Rattus norvegicus: one gene and its partners. The protein of the gene in region 2 interacts with the protein of the main gene of each other region in a biochemical or structural test. Links are inferred from orthologs where the notes say so. Each region holds a gene or a part of one and is shown on either strand. Other genes may lie near its edges. The genes, in order: Gucy1a2, Dlg1 and Tmem178a.

Region 1 (4,166 bases), on a different chromosome or scaffold from region 2:
TTATAAAGAACACAGACCTTCTGAACTTTTTAATATCACAATTTCTTTCAAATTTCTTGTTCTGAAAAGCATTATCTGGGCACATGTTTTTCACATCAGTCACTAAACTCCAAATTACAAAAGAAACCACCAGAAATTATTTCTTGTCTCTCATTCTCACAGTAGATACATCAGTTATCACTTTATTTTCCCTAAGCCTCAAGTGAGTATTTGAGAATATTCTATGCAAAATCATTATCAAAGACACTTTAGAAACCTCTATATTTTACTTCTCAAGCACAAAGAAAAAAATCTGGGTTACAAGGATTCTTTACCAATGGATCATTATGTTTAGTTAGCTATATGAACCTGTTGACTGAAGTATTGATATGTTGCAAAAATGTTATGTTGTGGGTTGATACAAACCTACATATGCACAGCTACTGAATTCCTCTCATACTCAGTTATGTTTGACAATTTGTAGCATTATATATGTCTCAGGATTATCTTCTGTGGGACAAATTTATAGGGAAGATTGAAAACAAATCAGCCAACCTGATCTGAATTATCTTTCTAGATTATCTGTAGGATGGTGTGTTAAAGAGTAAAACACAACAGAAAGAAAAGAGACTGAAAATATGTTTCAGTGTTGAAAGAAACACTTCTCCAATAACACAGATACCACAGTGATGTCTGTGGCATTGCCTGGACCAGAACATAGATCCTTAACATCTTGCTTTTCCCCAGGACTTTTCTACACTGAGTACAAGTATGCTTTCCAAGGGAAACCTAGGATACACTAAATAAGAGAACATTGTCCAAATACATTGAGGGAAGTTCAGAGAAAGTTAAAGTCAAAGAAATGAGAGCAGAAGGGGAAAATGTAGTTCTTAAAGAAAGTTAAAGTTTTTGCTTTCAAAACCTGGATGAGGTTCAAAAGTGGGTGCAAATTTGACATTGAATCTCCTTTACACTCTGTAATTGAGTGGATTTCTACAAACCCAAAGTCTGCTTAGTAAATGGTAAAAAACAGAGGCCTGACATTCCTGAAAAATCATACAGGCAGGAGTGGGAGAAATGTCTGAGGAGGAATGAATAAAAGTGGTATGTAAGAATGACTAGAACCAGGGTGTACAGGGGAAACTGCTAATACTACATATCCTAAGATCAACATATGTTTGAAGGAAGTACATGAAGGCATGCATTCATTCAATAAACATAGTAGTGGATTCTAATATAACGGAGGCATAAAAGAAGAAATAAAAACATTTTAAAAAAACTGAAACAGTGGAGAATCTAAGGATAAGAAAGTCCAGGATGAGGTAAGGGTACAAGTGACTTTTATTTTTACAAAGACACCAGGTTTGCCCTAAAAGGAAAACTGAGCCAATAAATTTATAACAAATAAGAAAACATCACGAAGGTGCTCTGTGTGTGTGTGTGTGTGTGTGTGTGTGTGTGTGTGTGTGTGTGTAAACATAGCATTACAGTTTTGTATGAGAAAAAACAACTCAGAAAAATATCTAAGAGAGCTTTCTTAAATGTGAGAAAAGCATTCAAAAGAGACTGCTGTGAGCCTGTGGAATTCAGAGATGCCCTAAAAGGTCACGAATCAGACCAAGAGAGTGTGGGAAATAGGAAGAGTAAGAGCTTCCAGAGGAGGGAGCTGGGGCCTCTTTGGAATGTTGGAAAGGGAAATGGGAGTTGCAGAACCAGAACACACCCTGGGAAAGTTTTGAGCAGAAAGAAGGGAGGGTTGGGAGGAAGAAAAGATAGAAGAAAGAAAGGAGGGAGGAAAGGAGGGAGAAGAAAGAAGACCGGAAGAGAGGAAAGAAAAGAGAGTTAAAGTAGAAGAAAGCAGAAGAGAAAGAAGGAAAATAGAAAAACAGGTGGCCTGAAGGATCCCTGAGGCTATCAAAGAAGACAACAGTGTAGTTTGATTTAAGCCTGGAAGTGGACAGGCAGACCTTGGAAAGAATGGGTCTCATTATTTCCCAATGTTCCCCTTCTGCCTAAGCCCAGACCTCTAGGGACCACTAGGAACTCAAGGCCAAAGAGGGTGAGGCCGAGTCGCCCCCCAGCGGACGGGAGCTCCCCAAGCTCCCCAGATAGCTTCGATCCAACTTTCCCCATCCCTTTCCCGGCTCACCGAGGGCGCCGTCAGGAGACTGATACTCTCGCCCAGTGAGTCCAGGTTGACCCTCCGGCGGCGTTGGGCTCTCTTGGACCCGGCGGCGACTGCAGCAGCTGCCGCAGCGACAGAGGCAGCGGGGACTGGGGTGGCAGCCATAGCGGCTGCTCTGGAGCCAGGTGGCCCTGGCGGGCTCCGGCTGCCATTCCAGCAGAGCTTAGACAAGGGGCATTCCCCTTCCTCTTCCGGGCTGGTCTCCAGGTAATCGGAGCCCAGAGAGCTGAAGGACTCGGATGAAATCTTCCTGCGAGACATGCTGCTTGGAGACACTACTGCAGCAGAGACGGCGGCGGCAGCAGTGGTGGTAGTGGTAATGGTGGCGGTAGTGGTGGTGGAGGCAGGGACGCAGTGGTGGTGGTGACCGTGGCTGGATATGCTGTAGCAGGCAGCTTCAGTCGCTTCGGGGCTGCTTGGCGTTGCGCTCGCGCTCTCCCAGATGCGTGTCCCTGGGGCAGCTGAGCCCACCGAGCCAGCTGCTCATGGCGGGAACTTGGGTTGCCGAGGCTCCTTACGGCCCAGGCTCCGCAGTGGCGCCGGAGATGAGCTGAGGATTCAAGTACCGCCACCGCTGACTCTGCAGCTGCTGTTCTCCAAGCTCAGCCTCAGCACCGGCCAGTGCACAAAGCTCCCACTGAAGGACTGCGGAGATAAGGGTGCATGCAGCAAGGATCCTCCGCCTTGCATCTCGATCGCCCGTGGCTCGTGTCCTCCGCCCCCTCCAGGAGCTGCGCGACTCCCTCCTCCTCCCTTTATACCCCCGCCCTCCAGCGCTGCCTCCGCGGGCATCACGTGTCCCAAGCATACTCATTGGAAGTCTTTTCCTTTTCTGTCGCCAGATTTCGGGAGCAACTAGGACACTTTGCTGCTGTTCTTTCGGTTCCCAGCCATTGTGCCCTGATACCAGGGGGAGCGTACAGTAGTTGTCATAGGGCTAAAGGTTCCTAAGCCCAAATGTCCCTTGGCCCCTGAAAAACAGAAGGGCAGTGAGCACGCCCAATGTCTGACGCTAGGGTGAGGGCCATAGAATTGAGGGAGTGATCTCTCTCTGAAGAAAACTGACAGCCCGACCTAGAGTATTGGGGTCCCTACACACAGGCGTGCTCACGGACACAAACAGACTCATACACACACTCAACACACACACACACACACACACACACACACACGCCATGTCCAAAGTCCAATGTCTAGTTTATTTTAGAAGTTCAGATTGGTCACATCAACTGCTCCAGCGGACACACAGGCAAAGGAAAAAACTACGGGACAGATTGTGAGGATGATTCCCCACCTCTAGTGAGGCCACGAGGACAGTGAGGCTAGCGTCTGTTCCTTGTTGCTTCATTTGTGGGAGCTCTTTTGGAGGAGCATCTCCCAGCTCCAGCTTTCTAAGTTCCAGTGCTGGACAGCTCCGCTCACCCCCTGCACCATGTTTGTCAGATGGTGACAGCATCTGATCTATTCCTGTACAGACTCCTCTCTTTGACCTGACCCTAAGGAGCATGCAGGAGGTTCCTATGAACCTAGACCACTGAACTTGTTCCAGATATGCATTTGGGAAAACCAAGGGCAGTGGCGATTCATACACCAAGAACAGATTTGCCACACTATGGGTCTCTTGAGTGTTAGTTTCAGCACACCAGCTTCGTTTTACAATTTGAACCATTGCCACCAGTCGCAGGGGTGGCCCCAAAGCCCTTGGTTAGTTCCAGAAAAGATTGTTCTGAAATTTTTAATAGACGAGGGTAAAAAGGAAGAGGAAATTGCAGTATCCCAGGGGAGGAGTTCCAAGCTTAGTTTCCTGGTGAAAGCGATTGTGCACCTTCCTCTCCTCCTGATCTCAGAAGGGCTTGGGCTTTAACTTGAAGGACACAAAAGCCACAGTGTTTTTATGCTCATTTGCAAAGGGCTAGTCTGGGTAAGTTAGATAAGTTTAAATGGACAGAGCATATTTCAAAACAAAAGAAAACCTCAGAGTTATTATTGCTTCCCTACTCCA
Region 2 (4,349 bases):
ATGTCTTTAAGTCTGTAGTAACACTAAACTCTAAAAAGTTATAAGGTCTACCAAGCCTGTACAAGGCTAAAGAGCATCAATAGAGCAATAAGTTATCTGACAAGGCACACATTGACAACAGTGTTCAAATCACACCAGTAATCAATCTATCAGCACACACGTGTGTGAGGCCTATCCGCTGGGAAGTTACTGAGAAAATGGACATAATGAGAGAAAGCATAGGTCTTATTTGAACGTGTTAGACAGTCCTTACTTAATTTTTTTTAATCTTACTATTGAACCTGGAGGCAATAAACCACCTGGTTCAGTAGTCAGGTGAGAAAAACAGAAATTTCATTTTTAAAAGAACCTGCTGTCTTTAAAAGTCTTAAAAGCCCACTCTTCACTTACTCGCCCACAGTCTACAGTTACTAACCAGCCTAAACTGGATGAATGGGCTCTCTGATATTTAATCACTAACCGTGTCAGGAACTAGTCAGGACTTTGGACTACTTGTCCAACTCTTTAAAACAACGAACTATCTCATATTTAAGATACAGGTAGGTAAGAATAAGACTGTTACAATGCTATCTGTAGAATAAGATAATTATTAGACATCACCTCTGAGATCATTCTCCAGGTCTAAAACTCATACTATAGGAATGTCAAATTTAACAGAGGTGTATATCAAAGAGATGACTGCTCTCGAACACAGCAGAACCCTTCAAATATCTTCAAGGATTCCAGAGAAATACAAGTCAACTACAGAAACACCAACAATAGTTCAGGAACCATTGATGTTCCTAAAACATTTCTACAACTTGTCCATCTTTCAATAGGTAACTCTAAAACTTGAAACGGTATTCTCAGAGGGCACAGAAATAACCATACCAGTAAGTTTTTTCTGGTAATTAAATACCTTTAGAAGCAACAGTGGCCTACTGCAAAACATAAGCACAGTAGAGATGTTCCAAGTTAATGGCCGTCCCCGGAGAGCCAAGCACATTGTCATTCTAAGTTTCACATGACAGAGAAGCACCATGCATTAGTACAGTGGTCACAAGTAAAACAGTTTTAATTCTCACCTATTAAAGCCTGAAAGAGGTTGCTCTGAAATATGCTAATAACCCGCTCTATGGAACTCCTGAGCTGTCTGTCTTCGGTTTGGCTTAGTTTCGACCGATATTCTTCCAACAGATGCAATGCTCTCTGGGTATCTGAAAAGACAAGTACGGTGAAAATTTCATGTATATATTTAGGGTCTGTGTCTGCATGCATACTTACAAGAAAGTGCTACATGCTACGTCTACAAGACATCTAAAGAGTTCCCCAGAGCCTCCAAGTCAAGTGGGGTCAGCGCTACAACCATATTCCATTCCCTGCTAAGACGAAAATACTTTAAAGGCTTTATATCACACTAGAGGAAGGAGAAAGTAGTGGCTGTGGACTGACAGCCTCCAATACTTAAAGACCATCTAATTAAACTGGTAACAACTTGGTTTTAGAATGCCTAATAGACAAGAACAAGTTATCTCCAACTTGGTCCTATAACCAAATTTTAAGTTTTTAAACATCGGTTCTTAGCTACTCTCAGTTGTTCACAAAATAGTGGTGCTATGAATGAAAAGTGAAATACTGAAGCAACGAAGTTTTTAAAAAGACATGGCAGGGGGCTGATTGATTGCTTCAGTAATCACTACAGATGTGGAGAAGGTGTGTGCAGCGAACTAGGTGTTTCCACCCTCTGAAATGATGTGGAGCTTAGATACCGTAAGGAATAAAGGCGAGAGCCTGCTGATTCATCAAAGTCACACAATCCTTTTAAAAACAGTAACCACAACACTGATGTATGTTACAGCCAGTGACAGCCACAAAACAGTTCCAAAATAAATTCTCACCTTGCTTCCGGACCGGCATTTTTTCCCAGAAGCAGGAAGAAGGCACACACACCTTTACAAACACAAAACAGGAAGAAAAACTTGAACTAAGGCAAAGAACTGAACCGTGGATCCATTCGTTCCCCCCCAAACCCCCCACCCCCGTCCCAAACTCTCAACTAGGAAAAACTCCAACCTTGGAGGAACTGCCCACCTTTCAAAGTTTTCCCAAGTGAAAAGCAGGAGCCTCAACCCCCCCAGCAGTGTCAGCCAAGGCAGAAAGCCGGTTCTCGGGGGTCGCTATGCCCCCTACAGATTAAGATCGGACCCAAGCCCGCTTCGGAATGTTCCTCCAGAGCTTCCCCCTCCGCAAAGAGCACCTGAAGAGGAGCAGCCGGGCCGCCGCCGCGGCGTGCTTGCCACGCTCCCCACCTGCTGCCGCCCGCCGGCCCGTGTCCAGCCGCGCAGCGCCCAGCCAAGCGCCGGGTTGCTCCCCCGGCCCGCTCCGGCCCCCTCCTCTCGCTTGCCTGGCTCCTCGCTCGCCTCCTCCCGGCGGCGACTCCAGCAGGGGCCGGACCGGACAGCCGCCGCTCTGTGCGCCGCCCTCGCGCCGCTCATGCACCCCTCCGCGGCCTCCACACCTGCGGCTCCGCCGCAAAGTTCCCGCGAGCGGCGAACGCGGGCGCCCCGGGTGCGCTCCGGCCAGACTCGGAGCAGCTCCCCGCCCGGCCCCGCTCCACGTACCCCGCCCCGCCCCGACTCGAGCTCAGCTGAGGGGGTGAGGGGACGGGGGAGGAGCTCCTCTCGGCGGCCGCACCCCCGCGCCGCTCTCTCCGCCTCGGCCGCCGCCGCCTGCCCTCTCGCCGCCGCTCGCGGCCCCGCTCGCCCGCTCGCCTCCGGGCCGCCCCACCCCCGGAACCTCGCCTCCTTCCGCGCCCCCAGTCGCTCTCCCCCTAAACTTTCCGCCAAGATGGCGGCCCTGGAGCTGGCCTGCCGCGCGCCCACGTGACTGCTTTCCCGACGCCCTCAGCCAATGAGAAGTGAGGAGGCGGCTCGCTCGGAGCCCGGGGCTCCGGGCGCTGCTACCTAGGGGTTGGCAAAGGGAGGAGGGCTGGGAGGGGGTTGGAGTAGTGGAAGGAGGGACCCTTCAGCATCCAGAGGGAAGCGCCTTGCTGAGAGGCGCTCCAGTCGAAGTGGCTCTAAGGACAAAGGAGTTGGCACGCGCTCTACAGGTGGTCCGAAGTGTTTTTGGGACAGCTAGCCTGCCCGTCGCCCTAGCCCAGGGTGGCCTGCAGTTCTGAACTAGCGCGCTGGACTCGAGATGATGGAGACTGAAACAGAGAAGTGACCTCACCTGCGCCAGATCCAAGAAACAAGCTCCAGACACCCCTTAACCTCACTGAACACGTGCTGGCCAACTTCAAGGCTGGAAGAGTACCTGGCACGCCCGGGGTGGATCCCCAACAGGGAAAAAGGAGTTTGTGCAGGCTGCGCCGGTCACCCACGTTAAGGGGCGGAGAAAGAAGGGACTTCGGAGGGGAAGGGGTAATCTGGGTCTTCCACTTTTGACTGGTTTTTAAAGTATTCGTTTGTCCAAAAAGGTTTGAGGAGTTTCATTAAGGACCGGATGTAAAACGGAGACTGATTAGTTTGGTAAACGTTTGAGGGTTTCAGGGGACTTTTAGGTGTAAGTGGTTAACTCCTAATATGAGCCGTTTAATGATGAAATTTTTCATTCATTTATGCCTGCATTCATCTGTGCGTTCATGAATGTGTCCCTGCCCAGTGATGCTCCCAAGAGTTACCCATCTTATGGAGGACCCTTTAAGAAACTCACCTGTCTACCTGGTGGTGGTAGCACAGGACTTTAATCCCAGGATGCTAAGGCAACCTAATCTTTTTGAGTTCCAGGCCAACCTGGGTTACAGTGAGTTCCAGGACAGCCAGGGCTAGACAGAGAAGAAACCCTGTCTTAGGTAAAAGACAAACAAAAAAAGCCTCTCACCTGTAGCTACCTCAGAGACTGAACTACTGCCAGCCCTCACAGCTAGTTTAAATTTCAAGCTCCTCAAAGCAGAGCAAACAGTCCCAAGGGACCCTTGCTCTAGAGTTGAGGCTGCAGCTTGAGGAAGGGGACAGTTCTCCGAGTCACTGCCCAGCTCACTGAGCGGCTTTTAAGCAATAGGAACTTCTCTGCTCCATAGCCCAGGAAAATTTTTCCAAAGTCGTCAGAAGTTACTGAGGCAGAACCAGAAAGGCAGAGACCCATATGTGTCAAACCTTAAGGCTGGATCCGCTTGGATCCAGCTTGGAGATGGTTCACTTGGTTCTTGCCTCCGAGCTGGATGCCCTGAATTCCATTCCTGGGATCCACATGGTCGAAGGCGAGAGGGACCCCCCCCCCACCGCCATGCACTATACACATTTAAAATCAATCCATCAATCAGTAAACTATGGGGGAGTTGTTTGGGGTTTTTTTGTTGTTGTTTTGTT
Region 3 (3,555 bases), on a different chromosome or scaffold from region 2:
ACCAATTTACCAGTAAGACACCATGTCTGGAACTGATGCCAGGCTCCTGTGGGGTTATGTCTGACCTTTGTGCTTTGTAGTAGTCACGGAAAACAACTTCTGAATCACAGGGCAAGGATGTCACAGGGAATGACTGAGCCATTATTAGTCCCTCTCCTCATATGTGGCCATGCCAAACTATTTATACCCTTGTACCAATAATAATTCAGCATATTTAAATTGTTACTATCCATAACCCCTTATTTTGTGATATATATTCTCTATTCTGGGAGGGGCATTTAGTGTAAGATAAATAGAATTTAAAAGCTCTGAGCTAGAAATGAGAATTCCCTTCTAAGCAGCAGGGAAAGGAAGCTGGGTGGTGGCCTGCTCCTTTGATCCCAGCACTCAGGAGGCAGAAATCTGTGAGTTCGAGGCCAGTTTGTTCATACAGAGAGAGTTTCAGGACAGCCAAGGCTACACAGAAACCCTACCTTGAAAAACAGATAAACAATCACCCCCCACCCCTGCTCCCCAGAAAAACAGGGATGGGGCAAGCTGTTTATGGATAAGATGCTATGGCCAATATTGGAAGCTACTGTAGCCTGTCTTCCCTCCACGTAGTGCCCCTAGGTATTCCACAGCAGTGGGGAAGCCCATCCTCCAAGTCCTGCAGTCTGCTGAGCTTGTGCACTTTGCTCAGACTTGTTACCTGACCTCAGGAGCCGCAGGTGTGTGTGGAGGTGTGTGTGTCTTGTTTTAAGAAGAATGTGTTGTTCCAAACAAAGGCACAAGCAAAAGCAGGAAGGACAGATAGAAACAGCGAAAACGTAAAATAACCAGAAGATGGCCAACCTGAGTTGCCGAAGTGCTGTAAGGGGGAGATACCTTTCCGTATAGATCAGTGGGTCTCAACCGTCTTAACGCTGCGACCCTTTCGTACAGTCCCTCATGTGCTGACCCCAACCATAAAATTATTCTCATGGCTGCTTCACAAATTGTAATTTTGCTACTGTTATGAATCGTTCAGTAACTGTATGACATGCAGGACATCTGCTATGTGACCCCTGTGAAAGGGTCGTTTGACCCCAGAAGGGGTTGTGTCTCATGGCTTGGGAGCAGCCGAGACAGATGCTGTCAGTTATGCCCATGGTGAAGACTTGTCCCATGGGCGTAGCTCCTTCGTCTTCCATCGGTAAATAAGCTCTCCACCGTGAGGCTTGCACTTGAGGGGTGAGAGTGTGTTTATGAGCAGCTAGCCGCCTTGATCATGCACTTCAGGCCGCTTCCTTCCCCGTGGTGGCTGTGCTTGCTCACTTTTTTTTCTTAAATACTTCTCGAGAACAGACAGGAGTAGCTAGAAATGAAGAAAACAACGCTAATTGGCATCCGAGATGCTCAGACAAAAACCTGTTTTTCGTAGAAGCTCGCCTTCTGGGCTCTTTCCTCCAAAGAGGAGAAGCCAGGTTAATGACAGCCACTGTGGTACGCCGACCTCCATCCCGGCTGCTCTTTGAAGGCTGAGGATGTGTTTCTCGAATCTTCCTCGCCCAATTTACTTACTGTGTGTGATGTTTGTTACTCACGTTTTGTCTGGGGTTGTCCCCTCATCTATTCTGTGGGTGTAACCAACTTCTCCACAGACGTAGAGGGGTACAGTGGCAAAGGTTACTCATCCTAGATACCCACAGCTAATGTACCCACAGATACATGGGAGCAGAAGTCCCTAAACCCTTCACCCTGAAGTCCCCGTGCCTGCCTGGATAGCCTCTTCTCACAGTGCATGTGAAATTCTTGGTCCTGTAATTTTCAATTGCTTTTCTGCCCCGCCTCCGATTTTGACAGTCTGTTTCTGTTTTGAGATTAGATCTAAGAAGAATAACAGCTGGATTCCTGGGCATGGCGGTGGCTGTCCTGCTGTGTGGCTGCATCGTGGCCACGGTCAGCTTCTTCTGGGAGGAAAGCCTGACCCAGCACGTGGCTGGACTCCTATTCCTCATGACAGGTAGACTGTACACCGTCAGCTTCCGCTCTGTGGCACAGAATTCGGCTTGGTTCTATCACTAGTAATGTTGGTTTCAGTGGTGGGAAGGAAGCGAGCAGAAGCTCATTCATCTCTGAGAGAAAATAAGGAATTTAAAGGGAACAGTGGACAAAGTGCATTGCCCAACTTTCCCACAGCAGCATTAGTAGGTCAGAGGAAAGTGTCCTGCATCCATTCTCAATTGAGTCAATGCTGGCATTTTCTGCCTTATTGCTTAACGCTATGTCTTGGAGAGAAAGGTCAGTAGCTGAAAGTCCCCTCATACTCTATGTACCAGGGATGGTGTCCTTGGCATTACTGTTGGTGGATTTCCTTTGTCAGGGGCTGATCTTGGTCTTAGAGACATAGAGAAGAGAGCGGACAATGTCCCTGCCCCATTTTTATTGTGGAGAGACATAAGAAGTGATTTGTGATAGCAATACAAACTGGGAAGACGAGCAGGGTACAGTCTGGTTGGGAGATGCTGAGGCAACAGTTTCCGAGTTGAATCATGAGAAGCAGCCAGAAGTTGGGAGAGAACTGTGAGCTGGAGACGCCACCAGCTCAGAACCCCGAGCAGGAGTCAGGCAAGTGTGTTCTGAGGAGGAAGAGAGGTAGGAGACGGGAAGGCATGCCCAGAGTGGGAGCCATGGTCAGGACCAAATCTTTAGAGATCTCTTAATGAAGAGAAGAGAGAGGAGCATGAATGTAAAATATAAGTGGTGGAAACCACTAGAAGATTTAATGGAAGGATAACTTTATTTAAAACAAGAGGGGTGTGGAAACGTGGCTAGCAAGTAAACAAGTTGGTTTAACAAGTAAAGGGTATTTTGGTTTATAAAGGAGTTGGGAGTTGGGTCAATGGCTAGGCAAAGGAGGCTGCAGAGAAGAAATGGCCTCCTCTTCAGCCTCCACAAGAAGTTAAGGAGTGGATAATGAGGGAATGCCAAATTAAGTTTCCCAAAGTACTAGTCCCAGAAGAGCCAACACTACCCCAGATGGCCATTCCGGCCCAAAGAGTCCTGGGGCTTCACAATCAGTAAAAAGTTCTCCCTTTGCCCCTCCCCTTTGTCAGTTATACTGCAAGATTTTGGGTACTAGCCCAATGTACGTCAAAGATGTGTAGGCTTCTCCCCCGACAGCTTTAGTTTTGCCGTTATTTGTTTTTGTAAGATAAGATCTTGCTATGTGGCTCTGGATAACCTGTAACGTCTAAGTAATCCAGGCTGGCTTCCAACTTAGAGCTTTTCCTGCCTCTGCATCCTGAGTGCTGGGGTCTCCCTGTGTACACTGTCATGCCTGGCTGCTTCCCCCAAACTCTGCAGAGGCCCCACGCCAAAAGCCACAGAAGGACTTTCTTTTTTAAGGCCTCCTTTTACTACAGGGGACGGACGCATGAATACTCAAGGATGTTCAGAGTAGGAAACAGTTGTTCTAGTTCAAATACATCACGAGGCCACACAAATCCGGCTCCACCAGTTCTCCTGCCTAGGCAGAGGAGGTGAATTTTGCAGAAGGGAAGGCGTAAGTCGGGTGTCTGTCAGTGACACAGA

The links.
Region 1: the proteins of Dlg1 (region 2) and Gucy1a2 interact in a test that uses a peptide from one of them, tested with the Homo sapiens proteins (2 studies listed by IntAct, with this or other methods). The link is inferred for Rattus norvegicus from reciprocal best matches to the Homo sapiens genes DLG1 and GUCY1A2.
Region 3: the proteins of Dlg1 (region 2) and Tmem178a interact in a test that uses a peptide from one of them, tested with the Homo sapiens proteins (2 studies listed by IntAct, with this or other methods). The link is inferred for Rattus norvegicus from reciprocal best matches to the Homo sapiens genes DLG1 and TMEM178A.

The regions. Positions count from the first base shown.
Region 1 is NC_086026.1:8,783,891-8,788,056, reverse strand, and holds the start of Gucy1a2 (guanylate cyclase soluble subunit alpha-2), read right to left. Parts: upstream 2,846-4,166; 5' UTR 2,426-2,845; coding exon 2,129-2,425; intron 1-2,128. UniProt on the Homo sapiens protein: Has guanylyl cyclase on binding to the beta-1 subunit. Isoform 2 acts as a negative regulator of guanylyl cyclase activity as it forms non-functional heterodimers with the beta subunits.
Region 2 is NC_086029.1:82,604,996-82,609,344, forward strand, and holds the start of Dlg1 (disks large homolog 1), read right to left. Parts: upstream 2,803-4,349; 5' UTR 2,384-2,802; intron 1,930-2,383; 5' UTR 1,897-1,929; coding exon 1,878-1,896; intron 1,197-1,877; coding exon 1,065-1,196; intron 1-1,064. UniProt on the Homo sapiens protein: Essential multidomain scaffolding protein required for normal development. Recruits channels, receptors and signaling molecules to discrete plasma membrane domains in polarized cells.
Region 3 is NC_086024.1:19,767,306-19,770,860, reverse strand, and holds part of Tmem178a (transmembrane protein 178A precursor), read left to right. Parts: intron 1-1,846; coding exon 1,847-1,984; intron 1,985-3,555. UniProt on the Homo sapiens protein: Acts as a negative regulator of osteoclast differentiation in basal and inflammatory conditions by regulating TNFSF11-induced Ca (2+) fluxes, thereby controlling the induction of NFATC1.